2 linked regions of the Oryzias latipes genome follow. The protein of the gene in region 2 interacts with the protein of the main gene of each other region in a biochemical or structural test. Links are inferred from orthologs where the notes say so. Each region holds a gene or a part of one and is shown on either strand. Other genes may lie near its edges. The genes, in order: fgf7 and fgfr2.

Region 1 (4,310 bases), on a different chromosome or scaffold from region 2:
TCGCTGAGGCTTTCCTTATTATAGCTCATTCTCTGGTGAGGACATCAACAACCGTTCAGTAAGGTGTCCTACTTTTATTCATCACTCATTTCCCTCATATGAAATGTACAACTATAAGCTCTGCAAACATATTTGGCTACACGAAAATGACAATATTTTATTTCAGACATATACTTATATTTGAGACATATATAATAGCAACAAATAAATACATATTAAAAAGGGATTGAGAAGTAAAAGCCTTCAGAGAGTCCCAGTGTCAAATTCCAGGCAAGGTTTCAAACTTCTTAAAAAGAGGGTAACTTATTTGGTCATGGTTTTCAAAATAAGGTGTTTGCAAATGTGATATTTCTTTTGCTAATGCATTCAGAAGTCAAGAGCACAAGGTGAATGGTAAATCGTATATACTTATATAGCCCTTTTCTTCCTTGCTTTAAAACTCAAAGCGCTCTACAGTCACAGTCCCATTCACCCATGCACACACTTTCAGACACTGATGGCGGCTTTGTGGCAGCACAGAATGTCTCTAAGATGATGAAAGAGTCAGCCGAACAAGTCTGACCGGTAACTGAAAGGTCTTTACGACCACCAGTCAAGAAATGAGACGGAGACCTGCTGCAGCCTAAAGCCATCCACTCTCTGGCTGCAGTCCTGACCTTCCCAGGAGAAATAATCATTAGGGTCCACATAAACTTTTGAAGTGGCAGGTCTAAAGAAAGGCCAGGTATGTGGGGCAATAAATTATGTCTTCAAATACAAACACGAAAAGTGAAAGAGTGCACGACCCCTGACGTATAAATGTCTACCTCCAAGCAGCAGTGTCTTCTGTTTTTCTCTTCTTGGGTGGAGACCTGCCAAACATAACTTATTGCTTCCCACTATTAGGATCGATAAGAATTAGAATTGAGGACCTTCTTTGAAGTTTTTCAGCTCAATAAAGTCTTATCAATGCCTCAGTGCAGCCCCAATAACCCAGGAGATGAGCAATAACAGATTTCTAAAAGCTTTGTCATCATGGCAGATGTCTGAATCATGTTTGAGGAGAGCATGAGTCATTAAAAGATTGGCCTGAACCTTCTTTTTAACGTGATGTTACCAGATGCCGCAGCAAATTCTGCAACAATGAGTGTGGATTTGAAGTTCTCAAAGTAGTTGAGGGCACATACCAGGAAAAGTCTGGTATTCCAGAGTTTATAGCTCCCTCTCATGCCGGGTGGGTGAGTGACAGCGAGGCAGGCAGAGGGTGTTTCTCCACCGCATCTCCGCCAGGGACAGCTGACTGGTTGGGATCTAATTGCTCTAAAGTGAGGTCAGCAGGAGGCATTTATCTAAGCAGAGTGCACAGCAACAGTGGAGGATGCACAGACTGAGCCTACCAAGATCAGGGAAGCATACATAGGATTTGACAGAAACTGCCAGCTCCTGCTCCGCTGTACTGCATCCCCAGGCTTGGTCCACCGCTACCGCTTTATTCTAAGGATTCGACAGATTTAAATTCAGGCTCTAAAGGCACAAACCTCTGGAAACTCTTGTCAACACTCAGAGCACATGTAAGTCATCAAAATATTGTTTTATTTGAAAGAGAAATACAATATTGCATTTACTGAAATAGTGCTGACAGGAGAGATGACAGACCTGCCCCCCAATTGACAGCAGTATTGATGCAATATTTGTATTGGTTCAGTTTTAAGACAGGACGCCATGTGTGCGTCAGTGTAGACTAGCCTGATTCCGATTTACTATCGCGAAACACCATAAAAACATAGTTTAAACATTATTCATTTCAGAAAATTATTTAATTGTGTTTTATTTTTCAAATATTATGTGCAATGTTTATCAAAAACTAAACAAGTGTTCTGTTTTTAACAGCGGCATCTGATACAACTTTTAAAACTTGGATTATGACATCAATTGTGATCTCAAAAAGGATGAAGTGGTCAGTACACACCGTCACAGACAACTAACTAGAGACATCCTCTCCTGTTACTATCAGCCGTCCTTTTGTGAGACTTCTGACCAGCGAAAGCTCACACATACCACCAGGAATTCCTGCTCTGACCAGCGAAAGCTCACACATACCACCAGGAATTCCTGCTCGCGAAACGAGGACCCCAAGGTCAAAAATTAGGGGTCAGGGGGTCAGCGTGTTGAGGGACAGCATACAGCTCTCTATCATTTCTTTCAGTATGTTGTTCACTGAGCCCCACTGTACTGCATTATAATGCGCAAATGGAGGCTGACACGGAACCTTCAAAATCTGTTCTCTGGACTCTACCTGCATCTAATCTTCCTGTTTGGTGGTGTGTGTGTAGTCTATGGTGACTGCACTCCAGAGCAACTGGCTGCCATCAAGAACTGCTCCAAGCATGAGCGCCACACAAGGAACTATGATTACATGGAGGGAGGAGATGTGCGCATCCGACAGTTGTTCAGTGCCACAAACTGGTTCCTACAGATCGATGACTCCGGAAACATCAGTGGGACTCAAGATCGCACCAACTGCTACAGTAAGGAATCACTTTTTTTTGCACCTAAAATGTTTCTTAAGCTTAATAAGTAACTGAGGTGGAGTTAAGCAGATGGAGGTCTTGGCTGGTCAAAACTAAGCCTAAATTTGTAATCAAATAAACCAGAGATTCTATCAAACCAAAAAGTGTCAGGTCCCTGTGACCCCAGGGTCACCTGCAGCGAATCACATTGGGTCAGAATGATTTACTATCTCATACGTTTTTTATTTTCTTACCTACACATTATTAGCAACAATCTCCCATAAAAAATGATTTACCTAAAAGCTTCATTTTAAGTACAAATAAAACTAATTTATGACAGAATTGACCTGCTACAAACTACAAGGAATGGCCATTTTGTTGCTTGTGACCAAGGTTTCTCAAAGTTCATGTTTACAGAGATGACTAGAAGTCTCAGTCATAGTGAGGATGTTTTGGCTACTTATCATTTCCTCTAATCTGACAGCAGCAGAGCTTGGAATTCTGACTTGAACTAGAGCTACCTCATTATGAGGATGGTTGTGCAACAACTAGCAATGTAAAGCAGAAAAAATAGAACAACAACTTGGGGCTAATTGTTTTATTTGAGAGAAAAATAAGTTTGGCTCGAAGCTGCCCGTGGATCAACGGTTTAAAAAAATTAGTTATTGTATTATGTATATTTTAATCCATGTTGACAAATTGTGTAAAAGAAACATATTGTTTTTTTAATTTTTGATATTATCATATACCATAGAATCCTACACTAAACGTTTCTTCTGCTCTTTCCAAACTCACGTCTTTTGCTATTTAGGTTAATATGAGTGAAGAAATCATTAAGTAAAATGAAAACCCTCTTAGAACAGTCTAACAGAAACATTGACTTTAAAGAGTCTTGGAGGGTAGGTCTAGACTAGGGTTTTGGTAAAATGGGGCTTAGAAACATGCCTGCCACTTGTCTTTACATTTCACTCAGAATTGTGGGAATTACATGAAAACTATCAAACCACATCAAACTTGACGGCTGTCTTGGTTCAAGAAATATGTAACCCTGACCCACAGTGTCTGAAAATGGTACTGCAGTCCAATTTCTCACAATTGGAAAGCCCTATCTTTCTGGACCCTCCCAGATGAAAGGTCATGGACATTAAATCTTCTTCTGTAAAGTGCAACATTTACATTAATGTAAAGGACATTTTAAGGTAATTTCAATAAAAATGTTTTCCTTGACAGGAGTTGGTAAAAAAAAGGTAATTCCGCAAAACACCAAATGACCCCTAAAAATAATCTTGAAGGGAAAGAATTGCAGAAAACTGTACAACTTTGTTTAGATGGAGAGACATATTTTTCCCTCTTTAGGAGAGCAGCCAGCTCAGCATTGGCCTCGAAAGCTTTCTGTGCTGCAATCATCTCTCTCCATTTCTCAAAACCTTTTCAAACATGTACCGTCATTTATCAACCTTTTCCTCGTATCATTTTTTTAAACGCTAAGCCAAGGTTTTTTAGTCAAGTTAAATAGGTCAGGCCAATAGCTGAAGCTCTACTGTTAGTTTTGCCTTGATAATTGATGTTTTATCATGTAAACCAAAGGAGATCAGAGGAAGCGCTGGTTGGGGTTCCTAAAAGCAGCCTGATTTTGGCAAACAAAACTTGTTTCATGTCTTAAATTAAAACCTGTAGAGGAATATTGTTGATTTAAAATTCTGGATTAAACACAAAGTGCATTAGATGTCCCATCACAAGGTAATTTTAGGATTTATCGCAGACTTTGGCTCATTTTTGGTTTGTCATCTGTATTTTGAGCTTGATGTTGCTCTGAATACT
Region 2 (3,819 bases):
GAAGATGGAGAAGAGACAAAGACAGATCCCAATGCACCATCAAAACCTGAGAGAACAAAAACCAACGCACCAAAAAAAACACAAAAAGACACCCATCACCTGAAGAGCCTACCAACAGGAAGCACTAATCCAAACACCAACGTGGACACATGCATGGAAAAACACGGACAGCATGGAGAGCACTGTTCACCATCTGGATGGAACTTGCACTTCAAATAGAAGAGTAAAATTAAAAAAAAAAAAGTTATAAAAAGTGAATTAAAATGCTAGTTATGTAGTTGTCAAAGTATGCAAGCCCAACCAGTGCTTCCATGGCAGCACCAGTTCCAACAGGGGGATGAAGAGGGGAAACCTGAGGGGTGTAACACTGGAGGACAGAGAAGATCCCCGAAACCTGGGACCACCACGAGACCACCAGCAGGACCAAAGGAGAACAATAAAGGACCCACGCTGGGGAGGGGGAGGGGGGTCAATGCTCAAAGGTTACCTGGGATGACCGTCAGCCACCCCGACTGGTGGGCCTCCCCAATATAATTGGAGACCTTACAGGTATACTCTCCAGCATCTTCCTCAGAGACGTTGGTGAGGGTGAGCACCTCCACGTCTGAGCTGTTAATGCCTGAACGCTGAAACCCATACACACAATTCAGGAACATCAGACAAACAAGCAGACAAATTCAGGTGGATCGTGTGATGACAGCTAGAGATCCGGGCCTACAGGACACAGCCAAAATCACCGCCGAGAGCCGGCTCGTACATGTGTGAGCACGCAAGTTCACATGATAGACCTTCGTCCATGAACTCAAAACAGAACGCAAACGATTGTGGAACGTACCTTTAGCACTCTGACGTAGGGGTGGCCATCAGGACCCAAGCGACTGCCGTTCTGGGTGATGTGCTTCAGCCACTGGATGTGAGGTTGAGCATCGCTGTAAACTTTGCACACAAAGCGGGCGTCTTCACCAACGTGCACAGTGGTGTTAGCGGGAAGACCAGCCTGGAGAATTGGACGGTGAGGAGACCGCTCTGCAGGGAGAAAACGACCATTTTCTTTTTACTTTTTTGAATATAAACACATTTTCAGAACATAAAGACAAGAGCTTCCAAACCAGGACACCCCAACATTTTTTAAACAAAGTATTACAGCATGTGAACAAGACAAAGGCTACACAGAGAATGATAAGACAAATTTAAAAAAAGCAAAAAATTACTTATTAAACAGGGAAGAATATTATAAAATTTATTAAATTATGTAATAAATCCAAAAACCTGAGGAAAAATATTTTTTACTTTGCATTTTTGTGTAAAAATGTAGGTTTGAAAAAGATTAACACGTTAATCCTAAACTGCAATTTCATAGTATGATGCTGTGGTTATATGTTGTCATATCGTATTTGATATATATCTATAGGAGGTGTTTGTGTTTGTATTTTATTGTAAATGTATTTGTGTTTTTTGAAGGACTACAGATGAAAACTTGCTTTAAATAACCTATTAATCATAATTATTTTAGCTTGGCAGCATGAACTGTCAGGAGTCACCCTGTGTTTTTGTATGTGATGTGTGTTTTCATGTCAGATGGAGGATGCAGAGACCCCTCCCTAAAGCGTGCAGCAGCAGCGGGGGCCGATCCACATGTGAGCCGCTGAAAAACCTTCATGGAATCGTTTGTACGAGTAAACATTTGACCTACGTATCCAAACAGAGCTAGACCTGTGGAACAATGCCCCCTTTCAAACACAAGAGCCTGCCAGCCCCCACCACCTACTGCCCCCAAACACTGCAGGGAAAATGGCATCTAATGGAGGGGCTTCAGTGACCTTCCAAAACAACGACACGGGTGCAGTTGTGGCGAGCAGAGGGCTGGTCGGAGGCGGATCCTGACGACTACAGCCGTTAGACGGATGGAACGCAGATGAAATGGAGGCTCCTGTCAGTCGCATTCTCCCATCTCTCTGAAGTATATCAGAACAGACCCCCACCAGCCCGCCTCCCCCTCCCTCCATCACATTCCTAGAGAGTTCCTTGTTTATTGTCTGTCTTTGTTTACTGCCCCTCTCCAGAGCTTCACAAACAGAACAAGGTTGAGACCTTAACTCTGACAACAGTCGGCGGCTTTCTGCTTTAGTTTCTTTGTGAAAGCCTCTGAAAGTTTCACTAAAACTACTTTGAAAGCAAAAAGAAGACAAATGTGCAAATCTGAGGATCTTAGAAAGAAACCCCGGCTCTAGTTCTGCACTTGAAAGGTTCAGGTCGTCACAGGAACAGCTCTGTAATTCAGAGTCTGGCTGGTGTTTCTCCTGGAAAGGAACATTCTCAGTGCTGTGATGGACAGGACATGTTTACATGTTTTAGGTACCTCACTGGGGGTCAAAGGCATTTTGCTCCAGACTCTTGACAATTGAAAAACTGGATTTAAGACTCAAAAAACCAATTGCTTGATTTTGGAGAGCATCCACCAATAACCAAAGTCTGATCGGTGTTCTGCTAGCAGGAGTCAAAACGCAAAACTTCACTGTTTTACACACTTTTTTATACACCACAGTGGGCTGAACTTCACTGTTCAGTAGCAGGAATCTCTGTCTGAGTCTCATTGCTGGAAGTTTGGATCAAGAGGATCTGGATCCACTTTAGGTCAGAGGATCAATCCAATCAGATCTTTTAAAGGGAATCAAAATCGAAAGGGAATCGACTCGGCAACCATAAATATAGAATCGAATTATTATTTTTACTTGATGGAGAAAGAAAACCCACAGAAAATCTACATGGCATTTTATTTACATATTCAATTCATTTGTGTGAGGAAGCTCTGTAATATTACTCATTTTTTCCGTTTTTCAATGTTTGTGTGGAAGTCCTTGTTTCTAGATATTCAATTTTTTAATTTTACATTTCTTTAGTAAACTGTATTATTCTTTTCTTCTTCCTGGAGATTTATTTCTATCTTTTCCATATTTTTAGGCTTCCCTCTTTATGCTGTGATTTGAAAAACTTTAAGAGTGAAGAGGAAAATGGATGCAACGATGAACTTTAGGATCTGTTTGCATGAATGTTAGGATGAAATTTGGTTTATCACCAAGAAGCTCCGACCAAAGCTCTGTGACGCCGGTCTCCAAACGTAGGAGTGACCAAACACAGTTCCTGCTGCGGTGTCCCGTGAAGCCTGAACTCCGAGTAACCTGGCGGTTTGGCAGACAGGCTCTGAGGTCAGCGAGGGGGGGGGGCATGATGGCACAGGATGGCACGCCTCTTTCAAAAGTGTTTCATTTCCAGGGCGCCACAAATCTAATTGAAAGACTCAAAGTTTGTCCCTTTTGCTGGTTTCTCTGCAGACGTCCAGACTCCAGTCTGAACCAGTGAAGTCAGGCTCTTCCTGAGAGTCGCTCCTGCAGGTTATTTAAACAGAGAGAGGAACCCCCCCCCCCCTCCCTCCCTCCCAATTCTCTGCCCACTGCACTGTAGTGGAGCAGAGAGGACAAAAAAGGTTAGCAGGGCAGAATGGAGGGGCCTTAGTGCTGCAGTAAATATGTGTCTGAGGCAGAGCTAACTGGGGGGGGGGGGGAGGGGGGGGCAATCCCATGGCGATTCCATACAAACGAGAAGCAGAAGAAAATAAAAGGTAGAGACAAAGTCAGAAGAGTGTTGTAAGAACTGGGACGGAGGCTGGACGGGAATCAGACCTTTGCAGCGTCATGTCTGCCGCCCTTATCTGAACGACCGCTGCAGAAAAGCTCCGATATGAACTGATAGCTTCACAAAATGGGCCAAGGGACGCCAAAAAAACCGAGCTGACAAACACGGCTCTGCTATCTTTATCCC

What was found.
Region 1: the proteins of fgfr2 (region 2) and fgf7 form a complex in vitro, tested with the Homo sapiens proteins (3 studies listed by BioGRID). The link is inferred for Oryzias latipes from reciprocal best matches to the Homo sapiens genes FGFR2 and FGF7.

What each region holds. Positions count from the first base shown.
Region 1 is NC_019861.2:12,854,956-12,859,265, forward strand, and holds the start of fgf7 (fibroblast growth factor 7), read left to right. Parts: upstream 1-1,307; 5' UTR 1,308-1,550; intron 1,551-1,869; 5' UTR 1,870-2,221; coding exon 2,222-2,507; intron 2,508-4,310. UniProt on the Homo sapiens protein: Plays an important role in the regulation of embryonic development, cell proliferation and cell differentiation. Required for normal branching morphogenesis. Growth factor active on keratinocytes.
Region 2 is NC_019873.2:29,222,270-29,226,088, reverse strand, and holds part of fgfr2 (fibroblast growth factor receptor 2), read right to left. Parts: intron 1,027-3,819; coding exon 836-1,026; intron 627-835; coding exon of another isoform or gene 488-626; intron 1-487. UniProt on the Homo sapiens protein: Tyrosine-protein kinase that acts as a cell-surface receptor for fibroblast growth factors and plays an essential role in the regulation of cell proliferation, differentiation, migration and apoptosis, and in the regulation of embryonic development.